7 linked regions of the Sus scrofa genome follow. The protein of the gene in region 7 interacts with the protein of the main gene of each other region in a pairwise test. Links are inferred from orthologs where the notes say so. Each region holds a gene or a part of one and is shown on either strand. Other genes may lie near its edges. The genes, in order: melanoma-associated antigen B4-like, CEP68, CCHCR1, BFSP2, COPS4, TXLNA and USHBP1.

Evidence for each region.
Region 1: the proteins of USHBP1 (region 7) and melanoma-associated antigen B4-like interact in binary tests that used the Homo sapiens proteins (3 or more experiments, as listed by UniProt). The two-hybrid records come from large-scale screens. The link is inferred for Sus scrofa from reciprocal best matches to the Homo sapiens genes USHBP1 and MAGEB4.
Region 2: the proteins of USHBP1 (region 7) and CEP68 interact in binary tests that used the Homo sapiens proteins (3 or more experiments, as listed by UniProt). The two-hybrid records come from large-scale screens. The link is inferred for Sus scrofa from reciprocal best matches to the Homo sapiens genes USHBP1 and CEP68.
Region 3: the proteins of USHBP1 (region 7) and CCHCR1 interact in binary tests that used the Homo sapiens proteins (3 or more experiments, as listed by UniProt). The link is inferred for Sus scrofa from reciprocal best matches to the Homo sapiens genes USHBP1 and CCHCR1.
Region 4: the proteins of USHBP1 (region 7) and BFSP2 interact in binary tests that used the Homo sapiens proteins (3 or more experiments, as listed by UniProt). The two-hybrid records come from large-scale screens. The link is inferred for Sus scrofa from reciprocal best matches to the Homo sapiens genes USHBP1 and BFSP2.
Region 5: the proteins of USHBP1 (region 7) and COPS4 interact in binary tests that used the Homo sapiens proteins (3 or more experiments, as listed by UniProt). The two-hybrid records come from large-scale screens. The link is inferred for Sus scrofa from reciprocal best matches to the Homo sapiens genes USHBP1 and COPS4.
Region 6: the proteins of USHBP1 (region 7) and TXLNA interact in binary tests that used the Homo sapiens proteins (3 or more experiments, as listed by UniProt). The two-hybrid records come from large-scale screens. The link is inferred for Sus scrofa from reciprocal best matches to the Homo sapiens genes USHBP1 and TXLNA.

The regions. Positions count from the first base shown.
Region 1 is NC_010461.5:25,894,292-25,898,223, reverse strand, and holds the start of melanoma-associated antigen B4-like, read right to left. Parts: upstream 2,801-3,932; 5' UTR 2,680-2,800; intron 1-2,679.
Region 2 is NC_010445.4:76,873,674-76,877,173, reverse strand, and holds part of CEP68 (centrosomal protein of 68 kDa), read left to right. Parts: intron 1-2,986; coding exon 2,987-3,159; intron 3,160-3,500. UniProt on the Homo sapiens protein: Involved in maintenance of centrosome cohesion, probably as part of a linker structure which prevents centrosome splitting. Required for localization of CDK5RAP2 to the centrosome during interphase. Contributes to CROCC/rootletin filament formation.
Region 3 is NC_010449.5:23,545,765-23,548,109, forward strand, and holds part of CCHCR1 (coiled-coil alpha-helical rod protein 1), read right to left. Parts: intron 1,557-2,345; coding exon 1,444-1,556; intron 1,329-1,443; coding exon 1,283-1,328; intron 1,129-1,282; coding exon 992-1,128; intron 873-991; coding exon 684-872; intron 593-683; coding exon 491-592; intron 1-490. UniProt on the Homo sapiens protein: May be a regulator of keratinocyte proliferation or differentiation.
Region 4 is NC_010455.5:74,634,378-74,637,877, reverse strand, and holds part of BFSP2 (phakinin), read right to left. Parts: intron 2,008-3,500; exon of another isoform or gene 1,853-2,007; intron 1,319-1,852; coding exon 1,098-1,318; intron 1-1,097.
Region 5 is NC_010450.4:135,300,845-135,304,344, reverse strand, and holds part of COPS4 (COP9 signalosome complex subunit 4), read left to right. Parts: intron 1-2,795; coding exon 2,796-2,947; intron 2,948-3,500. UniProt on the Homo sapiens protein: Component of the COP9 signalosome complex (CSN), a complex involved in various cellular and developmental processes.
Region 6 is NC_010448.4:88,670,051-88,672,954, reverse strand, and holds part of TXLNA (alpha-taxilin), read right to left. Parts: intron 2,628-2,904; coding exon 2,535-2,627; intron 1,963-2,534; coding exon 1,867-1,962; intron 949-1,866; coding exon 622-948; 3' UTR 1-621. UniProt on the Homo sapiens protein: May be involved in intracellular vesicle traffic and potentially in calcium-dependent exocytosis in neuroendocrine cells.
Region 7 is NC_010444.4:60,418,129-60,421,628, reverse strand, and holds part of USHBP1 (Usher syndrome type-1C protein-binding protein 1), read right to left. Parts: intron 3,319-3,500; coding exon 3,069-3,318; intron 1,417-3,068; coding exon 1,198-1,416; intron 10-1,197; coding exon 1-9.

The sequences.
Region 1 (3,932 bases), on a different chromosome or scaffold from region 7:
TTTCCTTTTTGAAATCTTATTGATCCCTCAAGGTCTAATTCATCCTCAGACATCCTCAGTGATTTCTCTCCTAATAAACTCAACCAAATATGCTCTAATCCTATACACACTTGTACCATTTTTTTTCAAAAATTTCTCTGAAGGGGGAGTTCCCACTGTGGCTCAGCAGGTTAATAAACTGATTAGTATCCATGAGGATGCAGGTTCAATCCCTGGCCTTGCTCAGTGGGTTAAGGATCCAGCATTGCCATAAGCTGTGGTGTAGGTTACACATGCAGTTTTGATCTGGAGTGGCTGTGGCTGTGGCATAGACCAGCAGCTTCAACCCCTAGCCTGAGAACTTCCATATGCCATGGGTGCAGCCCTAAAAAGACAAAAAAAAATTTCTATGAAGGAATTTATCATGTTTCAACTTATATTTTATTCAATCACATGCATACTTTCTCCGTTCCTTTTGATTACAATTTTTCTAAGGCTAAGGACTATGTTTTAGTTATGAATCTTCAAAAGCACCTGGAACATAGCGGATGCTTTAAAAATGTTTTTCTACTGGAGTTCCCGTTGTGGCGCAGTGGTTAACGAATCTGTCTAGGAACCATGAGGTTGCAGGTTCGATCCCTGCCCTTGCTCAGTGGATTAAGGATCCGGCATTCCCTCCCATGAGCTGTGGTGTAGGTCACAGATGTTGCTCGGATCCCGCACTGCTGTGGCTCTGGCGTAGGCCAGCGGTTGCTGTGGCTCTGGAGTAGGCCAGTGGCTACAGCTCCAATTGGACCTCTAGCCTGGGAACCTCCATACGTCACGGGAACAGCCCTAGAAAAGGCAAAAAAAAAGACAAAAAAAAGAAAATGTTTTTCTACTGGCACTGCTGGCATAACTCTATCATTTTAAATTATTTAATCCATGGATTCAACAGCACATAACTGGTTACCTAAGTTAGCTATAGTCTGATTGATTTATGTAACTAAATAATATGTATTGATTTTAAAACACCAATGACACATATTTAATAATTCATAAAATATGATTTCTTGCATGCTAATTTAAGTTCTGTTTTCCAAGTAAGAAAGTTGTGTAATAATTGTAATATGACTATAGAGTGGCTGCATCATTACTCTAATCATAAGAATCTTTAAGAAATGCAGATTTACTTTTCCAGATTACTGAGAGTTACAGGTAATATGCTATATATGTGTTTAATTTTAAAAACTTAAAGAGAGATACATTATCTAAAATGAGAGAGAATCATGAAAGAAAAAAAAATATTTTCTCATTTGTAAGAACTTGGACTCCTTAAGGCATCTGATAAATATAAAAATGATACTTTCAAAAACTGTAAGAAGATGAAGATTCCTGATTGCTGAAGGTTTTACTTTATTCAAACATGTAGCACCAGATCATGTAAGGAGAATCTTATTCTGCTTAAAGCCTGAGCGATTTGATTTGCTGCTTTCTGTCAGTGTAGAAGTTGACATTTTCTACTCACACAGATATATTTTTCCAACATTGTAAAACTGTTCAGAAAATGAGCTATGCTTGTAAAATCCTTCTTCCGTCTTATCACTAGGTGATTTTTGGCAATTAACCCCATCTTTTAATGCTAAATCAACCTAAAATGCCAAAAATACAATGAATACTTGTACATATGTCTTTCTAATCAGATATAGGAGTACTTATATCCACTAAGAACTATTCATCCAGAAAATGATTACAATGATTTAAGTGGGTATATTATAAAATTTCAATTGTACTTAAGAACTGCATAATGTTTGAAGCTGCTCTGAGAACTTGTATCCTACAAACTGGTAAAATAACATTGATCTGAGCTGCCTACATGTTCTTTTGTTCACCTTTTAAAACTTATAACAGGGAACCCATTTTCTTTTTTAAGGCTGACACAGTTTATGCTTCATCTTTTGACCTTCATTGAAGAAAGTTTGTTTTCTGTATCATATAATGACATTTGTATACCCCAGCTTCTATTGTGCTATTTGAGGATACTTCATTCAACAAAGCTTTACTGCTGTCAGTCTTGCCTTGTCTTGTCAGAAACACATGACATATTAGAATTTAAAAAAATTCATAGAGGGTTGATAAAGTTACTAAGTACAAACTATTAATTTAGGTGTAGGTGGAACCACAAGATATAGGGCAAGAACCTGAGGCTAGTAACAGTGGAGTTTGTCACCATCCCTAGGTCCTAAGAAACAAGGGAGAAGTTATTGGAACTCAGAACATGACAAAATTATGTAGAGTAGGCTAACTCAAGAATATAATTTGAGAAACAGAGCCAGCCCAAGGCAATGGTGCAGGAAAGGATTGTGGAGAATAAATACCCTATTCTCTTTCTCCTTTCTCCCTTCAGTCTCCCAGAGCTCCCTGTAGGTTAAACCCAACCAGAAGACAGAAGGTACAGGAACCCTGCCAATGTGGCCTACAGAGACATCAGTCAAGTAACAGGGAAGGAAAGAGCACATACCTAGAGAGGAAAACAGCAGATATCCAACAGAGCTCCTATGCTATATACACAGTGAACACCACACCCCCTGACCTTTAATGTTCCTTATAGGCACAGCCTCAATGAAATAAGTCAGTATAATAATGGGTAGATTAATTCCACCCTTTTCAATACTTGCCTCAATGAACTGGCATCATTTTGTAGTGTTTAATAATTCTCACCTGTGTTGCCGGGTGCTGCTTAATTACGGGAGAGTTTCTATTGAGGATTTTTAGCCATCTTTTGAGTCCATAGCTGTTGCAGAACTTTGGCTACCATGTTAGTTTTGGATTACGATTATTTCTTAAAGTGGAAAAAAAAAAGTGAGGCACAGTTAAATCTTGATTTCCTAGTCAAAGTCAACAACACAGCCTAGGAACTAAAATTTTTAGCACCCATCATTTCAACTCTCTCACCTATATTTGCTCTATGTAAATTAACACCCACAAAACTGAATAGAAGATTAGCACTGAACTCTTGCAGACAGGTGGAGAAGAATTATGACATCCGGCAATCTGTGAAATATTCTTGTATTTTTAACTGTGTATTCTTGTGTTTTGGGCTGTGTATGGGGCCTTTCCTGAATTGCTTTCCTTCCCTCCGTTGCAGCAATCTCCTTACAACCTTTTCCCTTTGGTCAGAAAAGGGGGGGAAGTGCCAACATAATTAGTATGCCAGAGTCAGTAATACTCCGCTGCCAAATGGCTTCTTGATTCAAATTAATGAAAACATGGCTAGCTGTGTCAACAATGGGGTCCTCAGCACCAAGAGGCCACAGCTCATGTCATGAAGAAGACGGCCCAATTCCACTTCCAAGATTGTGTCACTGAAGAACCTTTCCTAAGATATGGACCGGGTTTGCTTTCTGATGTGCTTCAGTTTCCTTGGGGGTGAGGGGCATGGAGTCTTTTGTGATCACTCTATTATAAAACATTCTTCACACACAGAGGAGATGCACTTGAGCTACTTCCCCCAAGTCAACACAGCTCACCCTAATGAAACACTGAGTATGCGCCAAGTTTTGTGCTAGGTGCTAGTGATAAGATGAATGTCACCCTGCTGACAAGGAGACCAATGCATAAAGAGACAAACACACACAAATGATTGGTCCTTGTGGAGCTCAGAAGAGGGAAAATAGAGTCTTTATTGGAGAGATAAAAGCTGTTTGGGGCTGGATATTAAAGAACGGATGAATATGGCATTCACAGATGGAAAAGTGAGAAGAGGAACTTCCAAGCAGAAGTGATGACTAGTGCAAATTGTGCAATTATTTGCAGTGAGCACAGGACAAGTCATAAAACCAGTAACTTCAGCAGGTAATGAATTACCATAAGTATGTGTTGATATATTGGGAACAGAAATTATTTACCATTTTCTATAAAGTCTCAGTGTCTAGCACAGGACATGATACAGAGTAGGGATTTCATAAATGTTG
Region 2 (3,500 bases), on a different chromosome or scaffold from region 7:
TGAGAACTGTGAACAGGCAGGGAGGGTTTTGATGGGATGAGGAGCCACGGAAGGTTGTCAGCAGGACAGTCATTCCCCAGTGTGAGTGAATTAGGCCTCTGCAGTCCCCACTTGCGAGAGGCCTTTGCATTGGCTCTTCTGGTGTTTTCTTGCACTAGGACGTTTTCGTTTTTACTGGAGCAGAGTATGCCAAGCTCCTTGTCCCTTGTAATTATACCAGCATTTTGCTAAATACTGAGTGCCAGACGCTGTGCTGAAGCGTATCAGTTGGGGTTGTGTTGTTGTTTTCCATTTAATCACAGCCCTGTGAGATGGATCCTGTTATTACTCTTAGCTCACAGAGCTGTGAATTTGCCTTAGGCTACACAGGGAGTGGCAGCCTGGCTCCAGCCCCTGTGCACTGGTCCTGTGCTGCTGTGTCTGGAGGTGCAGGAGCCTGAGCTGGAAGAGCTCAATACCAGGAAACTTTTCTGGAGGCCACATGTAACAGTGGGCCTCTTACAAGCTACAGGTTCTTGCACCTTCATTTAAAAATTAATTCAAGGAGTTCCCATTGTGACTTAGCGAGTTAAGAAACTGACATAGTGTCCATGAGGATGCAAGTTCAATCCCTGGCTTCACTCAGTGGGTTAAGGATCTGGCAATGCTGTGAGCTGTGGGGTAGGTCAAAGACATGGCTCAGATCTGGCATTGCCGTGGCTGTGGTGTAGGCTGGCAGCTGCAGCTCCAATTCAACCCCTGGCCTGGGAACCTCCATATGCCTCAGGTGTGGCCCTTAAAAAAAAAAAAAAAAAAAAGTAATAACCTCTCAGTACTTTATCTGTAATAACATCCCACTTTGCCCTTCTCTCCAAAGGTGTCTAGAGTATTTTACTGCCCCAAGAAGAGGTATTTGGGTATTCTGTGGTCTCCAGCCTCATTAAGATTGCCACCCTGCCCCTCCTGATCCTCTGCTTGGAAAAACCAGGAACTTGGCTGTTTTGTGGAAATCACAGGGCCTGTCCAGCTAGGTGCACAGCTGTCCTCTCCAGAGCACACGACCCGCTTTGTCAGTCATTGGAGCCAGTCAGCGGAGCCTGAGCACAAACACTACCCGCGCCCCCACCCCCCTGCTTCTTCACAGCCCGCTTTCTTCCTCAGCCACAGGTAGAACCTTAGGGACAGGAAGTCAAATTAATTGCTTCAAAATGTGCCCATCTCAGTCTCCAGGCAAAGGCTTCCCCATGGCTACCGGGCAGGTGTTTTCACTACATTTTGACCCAGGTTCTTCCATGCATGAGTTGACAGTCCTGTCGCACATTGACCCTTCATTATACTGGCTCAAATGACTAGAACCTACTGACATTAAGCTGAACCAGGCCCCTGTATGCATGTATTCAATTAGAATATATTAAAGTCTCACTCGGAAAAATTTCACCACCATTCCCAGCTTTTATTTGACCCCAGTCAAATGTTCTAACGTTCTAAGTTTCTAAGTTAAAAAAATAAAGCTCCCCTGGGAGTTCCTGTTGTGGTGCAGAGAAAACAGATCCGACTAGCATCCATGAGATTCCATCCCTGGCCTTGCTCAGGGCGGTAAGAATCCAGCGTTGTGGTGAGCTGTGTAGGTCGCAGGCGTGGCCCGGATCCCGTGTGGCTGTGGTTGTGGTGTCGGCTGGCGGCTACAGCTCCAACTTGACCCCTAGGAACCTCCACATGCCGTGGGTGTGGCCCTAAAAAACAGAAGAAAAAAAAATAAAAGGGTCCTCTGAACTCCACTGACTGCACCCGGAGGACTGAGCAAAGGTCTGGCGAAGGCGCAGGGGAGAACCCAGCCATTTGCCTCACGTACAAAGTGAGGGGTGAGCTGCACTATGGTGGCATTCCTCAGCCTGCCCTGCTGCCTCTAAGCTCTCAGGATGGTACTTTGCCCTAAGGTCACTGCACTGTGTGGCTTCCCCAGAGGCTGATCTCAACACGGCCAGCCCATTCTTTCTTCCGCCCATCCGTCAGCACCCTCTGCAGATATGCAGCTTCCCCTTTCCCTTCCGCCACTAGCAGATGTTGCAGCTGTGGCAGGAAACTAGGGAGAGTGTGAACACAGCTGATAAAGGTGCAGGAAGCAAAAGCAGCCTTTATGTTTCACAAAGGAAATAAAAGTTTTTGAGGGAAAAAAAACAAGCCTCCTGTGTGTGATGCACCCTGAACGTAGCCCATCCCTTCCTCAGATGAACACTTGGCCTGTGGGGGACGGAATCTTGGCCTCACTAACCGTTTTGTCCTAGCCTGCTTCCAGGTCATTTTCTTTTGAAGTCCGTTCATTTAGGATTTGCAAAAAACGGTTGATGGGCCTTCCCATATTATATTACCAGACCACTCATACACTTGTGAAAAGACAGTCCCACAGCCTACAGAAGCTGATAGGACCTGATTAGAACCAGGTCCTAATTTTGACATGTTGCTTTGTTTCACTTCAGACTCCTGCCCCACAGGATTTGGGTGTGCACCCTGGGCCTTATCTCTAAAAGTCGGATCATACCAGGCACCAGATAACCATGTCTCTGTGCCTTTTTGTGAAGTATGTCCTTCCAAGTGGAGCCAGTGAACCTCTTTTCTCAGCTTTTTTTTTTTTTGGTCTTTTTTGTCTTTTTGCCATTTCTTGGGCCACTCCCACGGCATATGGAGGTTCCCAGGCTAGGGGTCTAATCGGAGCTGTAGCTGCCAGCCTACGCCAGAGCCACAGCAACGCAGGATCCGAGCCGCGTCTGCAACCTACACCACAGCTCATGGCAATTTTCTCAGCTTTAATCACAATTTACCGTAGATCCTCTAGTGCATTAGTGCCTAGGGAGTCACTGTTGAGGAAAAAAAGAAAAAAAAAAAGCAGACATTTTGAAACTATTGCCATGTTCCTGTGTTGTATAAAGTACTACATCCTCGTATGCTCTTTTAAAAGCATACTTACTGTTGTTTCTTGGGCCTGACTTCTGTAACCCTCGTGTGTTAGTGTTAAAGGACATCCTCGGGAGGATCTCCAGGCAGCCCAGCGAGCTGGAGAGCCACGCGGATCACCTGTACGACACCATCTTAGCCTCCCTGGACAGGCTGGCTGGCTGCACCCTCGTCCCTGACGGCACGCCCATGGCACACAGGAGCGCCAGTGTGAAGGGGATTAGCCTGGTAGGTAGAGCAACCCAAGAGAAGAAAAACTGTCCTCGGACCCCAGTGCTGGATAAGGTACAGAGCTCCTGCTCCAGCAGGTGGTGGATTCCTAGAAGTTTGTTGAGCTAAGAGCTACTGAAACAAATGAAAGGCTAGGAGAAGCCCCTGGACCTGAAAAAGAGAGATTCTGACATGGCCAGGAAGAAGATTGGGGGTCTTCCTGTGGTAACTACAGCTCAGTGTGGTGCTTTCCATCACTCAGCTTCACCCCTGAGCTTGCTGACGACTGGGGTGCTCTGCACTTCAATTTTCTGTGGCAGACCCATTGCCCGCAAGCATGACTGCAGAAGTCATCGATA
Region 3 (2,345 bases), on a different chromosome or scaffold from region 7:
CACAGCCACGGGGGATCCGAGCCGAGTCTGTGACCTACACCACAGCTCACGGCAATGCTGGATCCTTAACCCACTGAGCAAGGCCAGGGATCAAACCTGTGTCCTCATGGATACTAGTCAGATTCGTTTCCACTGAGCCACAACAGGAACTCCTGCATGATTCTTTTAACTTGGCTAGGTGTTTGAAATTTTTGCCAATTAAAAATCGGGGTGATCATTGGTGTGGGATGTCAGGTGTGAGATGTCACGATGCCTTTGTGAAGGAGAGTGACGGGTGGGGAGCGGCCCCAGGGGCTCCAGGGCTGGGGGCTTGCGTGCTGTTGCTTGATTTGGGAGCCGGGTAGATGGGTGTTTACCACCTGAGAATTCATCTTCCCTGGTAACTTCATTACTTGCACACTTCCAAAAAAGCTTTAAAGTTTCAAAAATAACCTCATGCCTCAACACTTCCTTCTTCCCAGAAGCCCACCTCCACCCCGGCCCATCTCACCGGCCTTGGTGTGTTCCCTCCGAGCCTCATTCAGTCTCCTTTCTGACTCTGAGAGCTGTTCCCGCAGCCGAGTTTCCACTTCGGCCACCTTCTCCTGCAGCGCTGGGGTGGAGGTGCAGATGGGGTGTGGGGGGGTGGGGCTTGCTTCACAGTCCCCACCGCCCCCTCGGGTCTGCCATGCCCCTCTGCACACCTTGCCCATAGATCTCCTGCTGCTGGGTCAGCTCCTGCCGGAGACCAGCAGCCTCCGCCGTGCTCTCTTGCTGGCCCTGGCGAGCTGCCTCCAGCTGCAGCCCCAAACTGGCCAGGGACTCCTGTGTGTGCTGCAGCTCCTGCTCCAGCTGCTGGGCCACCTCGCTCAGCTTCTGCCGCTCCACCTCCCCTGGGAAGAGATGGCACCCTCTAAGGCTTCTCCACCCCTAGACCCAGCTCTTCCTCTTCATCCCCAAGGCTCAGACGCTGGCCCCTGCTCCAGCTCAGTAACCCGAGGACCGGGCATACCTTGTTCCCGGGCCCGGCCCACCTCCTGCTGGATGATGTGGGCGCTCAGCTGCAGTTCTGCGTCCAGGCGGTTCCGCTCTTCCCGCAGCTGCTCCAACTCGAGGTTCATCTCGGTGGCCGGTGGGGGTGGGGGGCAGCTGAGACAGAGAAGAGAAACTGCTGGGTGGGGGAATCACCCAGCTGCCTGACCCGGAAGGCCCACCCTTCCTCCAGCCTCGCTTTTTTGGTCCAGGGACTGACATCTGAAAAGCCCCACCCCCTCCCATCCACTCAAAGTGGCCCGAACGTCACCTCTCCTGGCGCAGCTGAGCAAGGGCCAGTTTTCGAGCCATCAAGCCTGGGGAGAAAAGGTAGAAGAGCAACAGAGAGATGCGTTTGCGAGGAAGAGGGGAGACGGGAGGAAGGGGAAAGAGGATGCGGGGCGGGGCGCATCTGGAGGCTGCTCTACCCACCCCGAATGGTGTGGACCTTTCGGACGGCATAGCTGAGGCGGGCGCTGAGGCTGGGCAGCCGGGCCGTGGCCCGCTCCACCTCGGCCATGGTGCTCTGGAGCCAGGCCTGAAAGCTGGAGAAGGCACAAGGTCACCGACCTTCAACCCCACGGCACATCCAAATAGACTCGACCCCCCTCCCCCCAGAACTGCTAAGCGCGTGGGGAAGGCAGGGAAGAGGGAATGGAGCAGGGGCAAGAGACGCTGAAGCTAAGGGGAGGGGCCCCACCTCTGGGCCCTGCCAGTTGTGAAAGAAGATCTGAGAGCTTACGCCCCTTGGTGATGGTCAGATAAAAATGATGCAGTTGCTCATAAGAAAAGCACAGCTATTGCTGGTCCTCAAACCTATGATAAGCTTCTCGTTTGGGTCCTCATAAAACAACAGTGAGGTTCATGGGGTTGCACCTTCACGGACTACCGTAAGGACTCTGTGACGATGATCTACCTGCAGGGGCTAAAACGAGTGCCCTACGGTGGACTAATTGCTAGTAATTTAGGCATTTTTACCTGCAGGCCCCCGGATGCATCTCCAGAGTGTGGGACTGTCCTGGCACCATAAGCTACATTCAGGGTATATGAACTTATGTGCATTCTTCTTTGGACCAAAGCCCACAGCCCAAGAAGGCATTAAATGACTTTACATCTTTTTAAGCGAACTGCAAAGCTTATTCTCACAATCTGCTTTTTCTTTTTTCTTTTTTGTCTTTTTAGGGCCGCACCCACGGCATATGGAAGTTCCCAGGCTAGGGGTCAAATTGGAGCTATAGCCGCCAGCCTACACCACAGCCACAGCAACGCAGGATCCGAGCCGAGTCTGTGACCTACACTACAGCTCATGGCAACTGTGTCAAGGTCAGATCCTT
Region 4 (3,500 bases), on a different chromosome or scaffold from region 7:
GCAGCCTAGCCTACTTGATTTCTGGAACTCTTAGGTAAACATGTTTTATGTCCTGGCTGCTCAAAGTGTGGTCTTTGGACCAGCAGTATAGGCATCACTTGAGAGTTTTATCTTAAGTGCAGAGTCTCAGGCCCCATCCCAGACCGGAAGCAGAATCTGCATTTTTAAAAAGATGCCCAGGTTTAGGGTCATTAAAGTTTCAGGAGCACTAATTAGGGTCTCACGTGCAGCTGAAAGCATTCCTAACAGATTCCATGTATGTACGATGTACGTGAAAACACACAGAGGTACTGTCTGTGGGTGTGTGAATGTATACAGATGCCCATACGTATATTTATACACACATATATATTATATATTTGTCTATAGATTCATGGATATATGTATATATGAACAGAATATCCTGGGAGGACACAGTGGGAGTGGGGGTGGGTGTTGGGAAGCCCGTGGGGTGATTTCTCTCTCTCTCTTTTTTTTGTCCTTTTTTTTTTTTTTTTTTTTTTTTTGTCTTTTGTCTTTTTGTCTTTTGTTGTTGTTGTTGTTGTTGCTATTTCTTGGGCCGCTCCCGAGGCATATGGAGGTTCCCAGGCTAGGGTCGAATCGGAGCTGTAGCCACCGGCCTATGCCAGAGGCACAGCAACGCAGGATCCGAGCCGCGTCTGCAATCTATACCACAGCTCACGGCAACACCGGATCGTTAACCCACTGAGCAAGGGCAGGGATCAAACCCGCAACCTCATGGTTCCTAGTCGGATTCGTTAACCACTGCACCAGGACGGGAACTCCTGTCCTTTTTTTTGCTTTTTAGGGCCACACTCGCGGCATATGGAAGTTCCCAGGCTAGGGGTCCAATCAGAGCTGCAGCCTCTGGCCCACACCACAACCACAGCAACACCAGATCCTTAACCCACTGAGCAGGCCAGGGATTGAACCCACATTCTCATGGATACTACTTGGATTGGTTTCTGCTGAGCTACCTACGGGAACTCCCGATTTCTCCTTTTTACCTTAGTTGCTTCTATAGTGTTTGAAAAAATGTTTAATTGAAACCCACGGGTGTGTCCTCCTTTCCTGACAAAAGCCAGGCAGAGACGCACCTGCTCTCCTCGCGGTCCAGCAGAGCGTGGTAGGCTGCCACGTCCCGCTGCAGCTGGCACTTATGCGCCAGAAGGTGCTCGCGGGCCTGTAGCTGCTGCTCGGCCTCAGAGCGCATCTCCCGGAGCTCCGCCTCCAGGCGGCTGACCACGGCGCCCAGGTTCTGCAGCTCAATGTCATGCCAGTGCTTGGCGTCGTGCAGGGTGTTCTCCAGGCCTCGTTTCTAGGAGAGAAGGAATGCGGTCCAGATCCCAAGCCGCCAGGCAGGGCCCTGGAAGAGGGAGGTGGGCGGAGCAGTGGGAGGGGCTGGCGTCTCTGGGGCTGTCCATGTCTCCCAGGACAATGACCTTAAGGGACTGAAAAGGTTCCTGGGGAGGTCGGAGTCTTGTTTAGTCTAATTTACTGATTCTTCCTGAGGGGGTGGGGGGGGGGGTGGGGAGAGAGTAGAGAAGGGATGAGGGGAGAGGGACAGGAATGGAGACTGTGATGAGACAGAATGATGAGAGAAAAGGAGAGGCAGATGAATGAGAAGAAAAATGAGAGAAATTCACACACACGCACAGGAGAGACAATTTGCAGGTGTTTCTTCAAAGTCTTGCTCCCAGAACTGCCTGGGGGCCTTTTTGCTCCTGACTGCTCACCCTGGAGGCCCCTTCCCTCCACGGTGACCCCACCCACCATGCAGTCAGAATGCTGGCCTGGCCGCGCTCTTCCCAGATTCCCACAGTCTAACGGAACATCTCTGGCTCCTACGTACCCAGCAAGGTTTTCTTCAGTGTTTAGGAGCGTATCTTGCTAACCCGTCCTCGCCTTGTTGCCCTGCATGCCCTCCTGAGCCTGTCTCTCTCTGAGCTGTGCTCCGGCCTGTGTCAAAGCCATATCTCTAGACCTGCTTCCCTGTCAATCATCACAGAGTCCTGCCTCTTGTATATTCTGAAACGTTTTCCTATTTGTGCCTCCCTCTTCTGCAGCCACCTCTCATCTCCATGGTAACCTCCATGGCCTCCTGGCTCATATCCCTGCCTGCAGTTCCTCTTCCTCTGCAGCCCCCACAGCAGCCACAGAGCTCTGTCTAAAGTCCAAAGCTGGGCTTGGAGCTCCTCCTCTTCCTCACCTGGCTGACTCCTACTTATCTGATGCCCAAGCTCAGGGGTCACTTCTCCTAGGAAGCCTTCTTTGATATCCTCTTGCCCCAGCCACCACCAAGCTGGGTTAGGAGCCCCTCCTCTGGGTTTCACTGCTGCCCAAGCATAGGCATACCCTTGAACTTGTCATAGTGGGCCGAGCTTCTCAGGGGCATGTCTCCTCTAGAAAACACTAAACTCTTTGAGGGCAGAAGCCTAGTCCCTATAACCCCAGTGACAAGACAGGGCCTGGGACAGAGTACGTGTGTGTGTGTGTGTGTGTGGTGTGTGTGTGTATTGCCCAGATGACAGCACTATATTATGGTTACATTTATTGACCCTGTCTCCCCATTAGACTGAAACCTTCTTATCTTCTCAATACTAAGCTCTGAAAACTGTAGGGCTGAGCAACATACACCTTTTTAAAAACTGTGTGCATCTGTCTTTCACATTTTTTTTTGGCTGTGCCAGTGGCATGCAGAAGTTCCGGGGCCAGGGATTGAACCCAAGCCACAGCAGTAATAAAGCAGAATCCTTAACCACTAGGCCACCAGGGAACTCCTCTTTAACAGTTTTTTAGCAGTTCTAATTATGATGCACCTATAATTTAGCATCTGGCTGTTCATATAACACATAAAAAACAAGTAAATATCTTTCTAAATTGGACTGAGTCAAATTTTGATGAAACAAGTTTCTGTACCCTTCCCCCCAGCAGGAGATTTTCCACACTCTTTTGACCACTGTGGCTGAAATGGGAGATTCTTGGTCATGATGTTATCTTGAATCATGGCTGCTGTTAAGCAGGGGTCGCCATACTATCTTACTGAAGTCTTTCTAATTCCGTAGGATGTGGGGACATTGAGTCAGATTCCCATCCTAAGTGTGTCTACTGGTGGCAAAATGTCATCAGTAGAAAGTAGATGTAGACCAGAGTCTGGTCTAGGGTTATTGTTTTGCTGGTGAGATCTGAAAACCCCTCCATGGCAGTGAGGATGCAGAAAGGGCCACCTGGATTTTGAGAATCATTTGTTCCAACCCCTCTGGGTCGTCTTCCTTTGTTTATCAGAAAGTTGCTTCATTTGAGTGGCAGTTGACATTGAATCTTTAACACCTGTGATTTGGAAAAACCTTTCATGGGATAATGTTTGCATCATCTGTCTATAGCTTTTGTCCCATGTTCATGATGATGTCTCCATGTGGCCTGGGGTTTTCCTCTGAAGACTTAGGACTCACTGCCAAAGGTGGGTTCATGGGAACCTCCATAAGAGATGCCCTGTCCCT
Region 5 (3,500 bases), on a different chromosome or scaffold from region 7:
GAGTTCACAATACTAATGCTACTTGATAGTGTGCTTTCACATACATTATGTATCACACAGCTTCTTTTCATAACCCTCTACTGAAAATGCAGCTGTAGATAGCCCTGTATAATAGATTTTAAAATGTGTCTCAGGATTAAGTGACCTTTTTTCCCAAGGACATTCAGCTAGTCAGTGGTAGAGCCCAGACTAGAAACTAGATTTTCTGATTTATAATTCTTCTTTTACTTATACTTCCCTGAGAAGGCTAGTTTGTATACTAATTTCTTTCTTTCTTTTTTCTTTTTCTTTTTTTGTCTTTTCTAGAGCTGCACCCGCGGCATATGGAGGTTCCCAGGCTAGGGGTCTAATCGGAGCTGTAGCCACCAGCCTACGCCACAGCCACAGCAACGCCAGATTGGAGCCCTGTCTGCGACCTATACCACCGCTCACAGCAGCGCCGGATCCTTAACCCACTGAGCGAGGCCAGGGACCGAACCCGCAACCTCGTGGTTCCTGGTCAGATTTGTTAACCACTGAGCCACGACAGGAACTCCTATAGTGGTTTCTTTCTAATAGTTATAGGCGTCTACGGCACTTTTAATGAAACTGTTTTCTGGAGTTCCCATCATGACGCAGCGGGAATGTGTTAAGTGCCATGTGCCAGGTATTATTTAAAGTACTTTATATAAATACTGCACTTAAGCTTCACGACAGCCTTATCCACATTTCACAGAAGAGGAAAGAGAAGCACAGAGAGGTTAAGTTTTTTGTTGGAGGGCGTATAATCAGGAGTGTTTGGAAGTGGTGTGGCTCCAGAGTCTTCATCCTTCATCACATGTAATCATACCTCATAAATGTTTATAAACAGTATCGTGAAATATGTCTATACATCTAGTGCTGATCAAAGATCTTATTTTTTCTTTTTTTGGGGAAAGTACAAGTGGCAGTAACTGTCACTACTTGCTCTATTTAAACATCATGAAAATTATTTCGCTTTCTATTCATTTTTGTAGTGAAGTGGGATATGAGAACACAAATGAAACTATAGGTTTTTCTACTCAACATCACTAATTATTAGAGAAATGCAGCTTAGAACTATAATGAGGTCCCACCTCAGACTGGTCAGAATGGCCATCATTAAAAAGTATACAAATAACAGGGAGTTCCCGTCGTGGCGCAGTGGTTAACGAATCCGACTAGGAACCATGAGGTTGCGGGTTCGGTCCCTGCCCTTGCTCAGTGGGTTAACGATCCGGCGTTGCCGTGAGCTGTGGTGTAGGTTGCAGACGCGGCTCGGATCCTGCGTTGCTGTGCCTCTGGTGTAGGCCGGTGGCTACAGCTCCGATTCAACCCCTAGCCTGGGAACCTCCATATGCCGTGGGAGCGGCCCAAGAAATAGCAACAACAACAACAAAAGACAAAAAAAATAAATAAATAAATAAAAATAAAAATTTGTTAAAAAAAAAAAAAAAAAAAAAAAAAAAAAAAGTATACAAATAACAAATGCTAGAGAGGGTGTGGAGAAAAAAAACAGCCTATGCTGTGGGTGGGAGGTTCCTCCAAAAACTAAAGAGAATTACCATATGGGAGTTCCCACTGTGGCCCAGTGGGTTAAGAATTCAACTAGGATCCAAGAAAATGCAAGTTCAATCCCTAGCCTTGCTCCGTGGGTTAAGGATCTGGTGTTGCCTCGAGCTGCAGCGAAGGTCACAGCTGTGGCTTGAATCTGGGGTTGCTGTGACTGTGGCGCAGGCCTGAGGCTACAGCTCTGATTCACCCCCTAGCCTGGGCACCTCCATAGGCCTCAGCTGCAGCCTTTAAAACAAAAAAAACCAAAAAAAAAAACCAATGCCTTTCGCAGTAACATGGATGCAACGGGAGGATTATTATAAGTGGAGTAAGTCAGAAAGAGAACAGCAAACACCACACCATATCACTCACAGGTGGAATCTAAAATGTGGCACAAACGAACCTATCTACGAAACAGAAACAGACTCGTGGTTGCCAGTGGGGAGGGGGAGGGAGAGAGATGTACTAAGAGTTGGGGTTAGAGGATGCGGAGCGATGTCCTTTAGAAAGGAAAAACAAGAACGTGCTACTGTGCAGCACAGGGAACTGTTTCCAGTCTCCTGGGACAGACCATGATGGAGCAGAATGTAAAAAAGCACGAATGTCTGTGTAGAACCCAGGCACTCTGCTGTCCAGCAGAAATTGGTGCAACATTGTAATCAATGATACTTTAATGAAAAAAGAGACAAAAGTAACAGTGTTTCGGAGTTCCCATTGTGGCACAGAGGAAACGAATCCGACTAGGAAGCGTGAGGTTGTGGGTTCGATCCCTGGCTTTGCTCAGTGGGTTAAGGATCCAGAGTTGCTGTGGCTGTGGTGTAGGTCGGCGGCTACAGCTCCGATTAGATCCCTAGCCTGGGAACCTCCATATGCTGCAGGTGCGGCCCTAAAAAGCAAAAAAAAAAAAAAAAAGTAATAGTGTTTCTTCACTTTATAGAGAAATAAAGAAGAGAAAGGAATGATATAAAATTCTCAACTGTTGAAACTTTTCCCCAGCCATTTCTGTTTCTTAGAAAAGTTGTGGTATTTTTACTGTTTTGCTGTAGTTATGTAATCAGATAATTCAGCATAAGGAAAACTGGTTCTGTAATATAAGAGTGTGTGGAGTGTGGAGATCCCTAAACAATGCTTTGAGAGGTTCACTAATACATATGATTTTTAGTATTAATTTTAGTAAAGATGGATTGCTTAATGGAAACACATAAATTACTCATGTTTTCTTATCCCTTATTTTTTTTAACAAGTGGTAAATGAGAACGTTAGCCTCGTGATCTCTCGCCAGTTGCTGACTGATTTCTGCACACATCTCCCTAACCTGCCTGATAGCACAGCCAAAGAAATCTATCATTTCACCTTGGAAAAGATCCAGCCTAGAGTCATTTCATTTGAGGAGCAGGTAAAACCTAGAGCACTGACTTTTGTTTTGCTTTGTTTTTAGGAATCTGTTTAGGATGTGTTTTCTTTTTAAATTGAGGCATAGTGGATGTACAATATTATATATATATAAGTTTAGGTGTAAAACAGTGATTCATAATTGTTAAGGTTATATTCCACTTACGGTTATTATAGAATGTTGGCCATTAGAGTGGTGATTTTTGACCTTGAGATAGCAGCAATTATTTTTAGAGACGCCGTTACATTTTTAAAGGTGATAATCATTGTTTCATTTTTACAAAACAGTGTGCCAAACATTTTTTTTTTTTTTTGCTTTTTTGGGCCACACCTATGGCATATGGAGGTTCCCATGGTAGGGGTTGAATCGAAGCTACAGCTGCCGACTTACACCACAGTCACAGCAAGGCAGGATCCAAGCCGCATCTGCAACCTACACCACAGCTCATGGCAACGCCAGATCCTTAACCCCCTGAGTGAGGCCAGGGATCGAACCCAAAACCTCATGGTTACTACTCAGATTTGTTTCTGGTGCGCCACAATAGGAACTCCCCGAA
Region 6 (2,904 bases), on a different chromosome or scaffold from region 7:
GGGCAGGGGAAGCGGTGCCTGAGGAGCTCCCTACCAGCACATCATCCTGCACAGAACATTCTCCAGGTCCCTTGTCCTAGGCAGGAAAGCAGTTCCATTGCCAGCTGAGTACCCTGTCAACGCTCTGCCCGGTGACCCCTCTTCCGGGTCAAGAGAAGCAAGGGAGCTCCTCCCAGGGGGGCTAGGAGAGCCCGAGCTGCCCAAGTCCCGCTAACAGGAGAAAGACAGTCAGGGCCTGGGCATTTCATCTGTCACGAGTCCTGAAAGGCAGGGAGGAAGGGGCTGAGTCTCAAATAGGGCAGGGAAATGCTCAAGTCACTTGTCCTGCCAGCTCACTGTGACAGCAGCCACAGATGACAGCTCTAAGACTCTTCAGCTCACGGAAGAGCCACTGACTTCATCTGTACACATCCCCACCTCCAGTGCAAGCCCAGTTTACACTTACAGATATAAATGTATGAGGCCTTGCACATATGCCATACGTATGCAAAACTGACCCATAAAATCCCAAACTGCAGAGTCTGATGCCAGCCAGGTCAGAGCACCCTGGGTCTCAGCGGTGGGAGCCTTGCATGGGCCAGGCCTGGCTGGGCTGCTCGCTCCCTTCCCTGTGCAGGCTCCCTAGGCGGTGGCGGGGGCGGGCTCCTGGGGCCCCATTTGGCCTGATGCTTCCATGCTTGATGCTCCAGGGCAGCAAGGTGCTTCGGTGGCCCTTGGGGAGCTAGGTGCTAGGACCCTGGGCCCCTCACCACCCTGTTCCTTGGAGGCATTGGCAGCCTCTTGCCTTTGCTCAGAGCCCCCATCAGTGAGGGGGCCCTGGCCTCCAGCACTCAGGTCCTGCACCCTCTTGTTCAGGTCATTGCGCTCTGACTGCAGCGCCCGGCACAGCTTCTCCAGCCGCTGGATTTTTACCTGCAGCCCCTCCAGCTCTTTGTCCCGCAGTGTTTTCTAGGGAGAGAAAGGGGAGCCTTCAGTGCCATGCCATCAACCTCCCACACAACACTGCCATGTGGCAGAAAACATTCACACACTAACAATGCTGGGGACAGGAGTTCCCGTTGTGGCTCAGTGGAAACAAATCCGACTAGGAACGATGAGGTTGCGGGTTCGATCCCTGGCCTCGCTCAGTGGGTTAAGGATCCGGCATTGCTGTGAGCTGTGGTATAGGTTGTAGACATGGCTCGGATCCTGCGTTGCTGTGGCTCTGGCATAGGCTGGCAGCAATAGCTCCAATTAGACCTCTAGCCTGGGAACCTCCATATGCCGCGAGTGCGGCCCTATAAGGACAAAAGACGAAAACAAACAAACAAAAAACAATGCTGGGGACAGACCAGAGTCAAAAACCGGCCCCTTTCCAGGTTTACGCTGAGACTCTGACTGTCGGTCAGGCGCAGTGTGGTGTTGAGAACGGGCAAAGCTTGGAGGTGACGGAGTCCTGCATTTATCCACCTGATGGCCTTGACAAAGTACTTGGCTTTTGAGCCTATCTCTGTATCTGTTAAAATGGACCACTAACAGTTCTCAAGAGAGCTCTATGAACCAGCACATCTAAACACTCAGCAGGGCCCAGCAATCAGTTACTTTCTTTTCCTACATCTCAAGCCACACAATTAAATGATCTGGGTGGCTCTGCACACAGGCTCCACAATCACTGCCCCTTGTTTTCTGCTCCTTTCTTCCATCCCCTCCCACTACAGACCTACTGCTAAGCTCACCACCTCCCCTGGAGAGACAGCCAATGGTGCTTTTGGACTTGGACAGACGTGCACATGGGTCCTAGCTCCACGTGGTGCCAGCTGCCTCACTTCTCGGTAGAATGTACAGGACATACACCCCAGCCCCAGAGGCAGGTCGCACTCAGCCCACCTCCTCTGCCATCTCAAGCAGGGCCTTGTTGCTGCTCTCCCACCGGGACCGGTACATGGTGGTTTCTTTCTCCAGCTTCTTGATCTTCTTAGTCATCTGGGTTATGGAACATACAGAATGAAATGGTCAGGGGACTCGGCTGTCTGTGCATCTCCAAGGTGGGGAACAGACCCAAGGGCATGAGGTCCTACAGGGCGTGGTCAGTGCCTTCTGTGCCACCCTAGGAGGTCTCAAGTGCCCACCACCAATACAGGCAATGACAAGACCGCCTCCTCTCCAGGACAACCTAAAGGGCACACGTACCAGCCATGTGTCTGTCCCTAACAGGGTGGAAAGGCTGTGAGCCTCCTCACAGCCCACTTACACCCTCCTCATGGTAGCAACCACACCCCCACTGTAAACAGTTCGCCGTGAAGCACCGCGGGGATGGGGGCTTTCTGAAGGCAGGCGCAGTGTTTTTTTTTTTTGCGGGGGGTGGGGGGCAAACTTGGGGCATGTGGAAGATCCCAGGCTGGGGAATCATCTGCACCACAGCAGGCACTGGAGCTGCTGGAGTGACAACAACGGATCCTTAACCCCCTGTGCCACAAGGAACCCCCGCCCAATGTTTAATTCTGAATGAAGCCACTTGTGCTCCTGCAGCCACACCCAATCTGGAATACAGTTACCTTTTCCATCTCCTGTTTGAATGTGGTGAACACCTCACTGCTTTTGGAAAGAGTGTTCTGGAACTCTTCAAACTTCTCGGTGTATAGGGCAAGCTGGGTGAGAAAGAAACGCACAAGTAAGACAGGGCTTCTCTGGAGGGCACTTCTGGTCAACACACTCAGACCCATCCTTGACCTCACGCCCCAACAATTCTAATGAGATACCGGTTTCCTTTAAAACAAAAACTATATATTTGGAAAGATATAATCTAAAATGCTAAGCCTAAAAAGTAGGATTTGGGGTGACTTGTTTTATGCCTTTACGTTTTCCAACTTTTCTTTGGGAAAGAAGTCTAATTTATATAATTTTTTTTTTGGGTATTTTCTAGGG
Region 7 (3,500 bases):
AGGCAGGCTCTGTGGGAGGTAGAAGGGAGGGTAGCGACATTAGCATAGCCTGAGTGTGGGCTCAGCCCAAGCTGGACACTGAAATCACCCAGAATGTTGTGGCCACGTGGCCACAGCCCTCGCCTTCAGAGCCCCCACTCTGGTTAGGTACCTCCATAAGGGTACAGGTACTCCCTAACAAGGGAAAAAAATTACAGGGGATCTCCTTTTTAGGCAATCCAGGAGAACTTCCTGGAGGAGGTGATGTCTGAGTTCAGGCCTGTAGGAGGTTGAGAATTTAATTAGATAAGGAGGGAAGTGACTGGTGTTCCCAGCAGGGTCACAGCATTTCTAAAGGCTTGGAGGTAGGAGAGGTGATTCAAAGGAAGGTTCCGGAAGCCACTAAGGCTTTAAGCAGAGAACAGGCATGATTAGACAGTAAGGGGCAAAAAGGAAAGCCTCAGAGAGGAAGCTGGAGCCAAAACTTCGGAAGAAATGAAGCATAGGCTGGGACCGTTGGAATGGAGAAGGGGAAGTATGAATAAGACTGGGGGTGGGAAGGAGGAGGCACAGGTTTGAGTGGAAGACACTAAATCCCTTGGGGCTTATTGGGCTCAATAAATACCCTCAAAGAAAGAAACCCCAAAGTAGAAGTGGGAATTTTGAAATGTAGCTTAACCATTAGCTCTTTTTGTGTGTGAAGAAATGGAAACTGAGAGGTTCCCGTCATGGCTCAGCGATAATGAAACCAACTAGTATCCATGAGGACACGGGTTGGATCCCTGGTCTTGCTCAGTGGGTTAAGAATCCAGGGTTTCCATGAGCTCTGGTGTAGGTCACAGATGCAGCTCAGATCCTGTGCTGTGGCTGTGGCCTAGGCCGGCAGCTGCAGCTCCAATTCTACCTCTAGCCTGGGAACTTCCATATGCTGCCTGTGCAGCCCTAAAAAGCAAAAAAAGAAAAGAAATGGAAACTGAGACTCAAAGGGGGCTATGATTCTTTTTTTTTTTTTTTTGTCTGCACCCACAGCATTCGGAAGTTCCCAGGCCAGGGATTGAACCCACACCACAGCAGTGACCTGAGCCACAGAGGGGATAACACTGGCTCCTTAACCTGCTGAGTAACCAGGGAACTCCCCAAAGGGGGCAATGATTAACCGGAACCACACAGTCACTAGTATACAGCTATTCCTACCAGGTCCAGGCACGGCCAACTCACCTGGGACCACTCCTCCTCTCCGCTGGTCGCGCCTCCACTGCTGTCTTCACCGCTGCTGTTGGCCTCACCCGTCTGGAGCTGTGCCCGCTCCCAGCGCAGCTGCTCCAGCAGGAGTACATGGGCTGGGACCTGTGCTCGGAGGGCAGCCTCTCGCAGCTCCAGAGCCCGCTTCTCCCGTCGCACCAGCTGTAGCCTCAGCGTCAGGTCAGCCAGGGTCTCCTGGCAGACCAGGGAAAGGGGAGAGAATTTTCACCTCTAGGGTCAACTGCTGGGGAAACTGAACTCCAGGGGGCACCCACTGAGGGCTGGTCAGGCAGGAACACAAACCGTCCCTGTGATCTTGTCTTTTTTCTTTTCTTTTTTTTTTTTTTTTTGGTCTTTTTGTTATCTCTCTGGGCTGCTCCCGCGGCATATGGAGGTTCCCAGGCCAGGGGTCGAATCGGAGCTGTAGCTGCCAGCCTACGCCAGAGCCACAGCAACGCGGGATCCAAGCTGCGTCTGCAACCTACACCACAGCTCATGGCAACGCCAGATCGTTAACCCACTGAGCAAGGGTAGGGACCGAACCCCACAGCCTCATGGTTCCTAGTCGGATTTGTTAACCACTGCGCCACGACGGGAACTCCTTCTTTTCTTTTTTTAAGGCCCGTACCTGTGGCATACGGAAGCTCCCAGGCTAGGGGTCCAATTAGAGCTGCAGCTGCTGGCTTAGATCACAGCCACAGCAACTGGGGATCTGAGCCACGTCTGTGAACTACACTGCAGCTCACAGCAATGCGGGATCCCTAACCCACTGAGCCAGGCCAAGGATCGAACCCGCATCCTCATGGATATTAGTCAGGTTCGTTACCGCTGAGCCATGAAGGGAACTCTCCCTTCATGATCTTGCATGATGGGAAATATCATCTTCCCATTAAAAACAACAGCTTGTGAAGTTCCCGTTGTGGCTCAGTGGTTAATGAATCCGACTAGGAACCATGAGGTTGCAGGTTCCATCCACGCCCCTGCTCAGTGGGTTAAGGATCCGGTGTTGCCATGAGCTGTGGTGTAGGTCACAGATGCAACTCGTATCCCACATTGCTATGGCTCTGGTGTAAGCTGGTGGCTACAGCTCCGATTGGACCCCTGGCCTGGGAATCTCCATATGCCACGGGTTCAGCTCTAAAAAGACAAAAAGACAAAAACAAACGAACAAACAAAAAAACACAACAGCTTGTAGGGAGTTCCCTTTGTGGCGAAGCAGAAATGAATCTGACTAGTATCCATGAGGATGCAGTTTGATCCCTGGCCTCGATCAGTAGGTTAGGGATCTGGCGTTGCTATGAGCTGTGGCGTGGGTGGCAGATGAGGCTCAGATCTGCCATTGCTGTGGCTGTGGCATAAGCTGGCAGCTGCAGTTCCCATCCTACCCCCAGCCTGGGAACTTCCATATGCCATGGGTGCAGCCTTAAAAAGCAAACGCACAAACAAAAAACAGCTTGTAGAAATGCCAGTTCATAGAGAGCAAGTATCCTAAACAAGGTCAAGTAGCAGCTCAGTGGAAGTGTCCGGAGTTTCTCCAAATTCAAAACCTCAGCTCTTTCATGCCAGGCTACAAACCTCAGATTATGGCCCCTTCCTCTTTCTTTTCCATAGGAGGGGCATTTTGGGAAGCTAGATTTGGAATCTTATGAGAAACTGAAAGCCGGAGGACAAATTCCTATTCATCCCTCAAAACCCCAGCTCCAAATCTCCTCCCTCCAGGAAGCTAGTCCCCAGTCCAGCAAAACGCTCCCTTTCTACTGGGTCCCCCAATCACATTTCTCTCTGACTCAGCAAAGAGTTTGGTTCCACCAGGAAAGACTGATACAGTGACCACAGCCCTTGTGTACCCGTGTGGCTGCCAGTTCCTGCTGGATCTGCGTCTTCTCTAGCCGGGGCAGCGACGGGCCAGGCTGTGTCCCCAGAATGGCCTGCACCATGGCTTCAGCATGGGGCACAGTGGACGTGGGTGCCGAGGTAGGGCCAGGTTCTGGAGGAATCTTCACAAGAGCACGGCGTTCCTGGAGACGCTGAACATAGCCTTGGAGCTGGGTAGCCACCTCCTGCAGTGTGGGCTTATCCACACTGTTGCCCTCGCGGCTACAGGAAACAGAAGAGGATCCTATGTCAGCACTGGTGGGCTCCATTGTCTTCCATCCTATTGACTGTGATGGGTCCTTCCTATGCCATCTGTGGTGGGCATGGTCAAACCAATATGGTGGGTACCACACTGTAAACCTCAATGATCAAAATCATCTATCAGTGATGAATGATGGATGAAC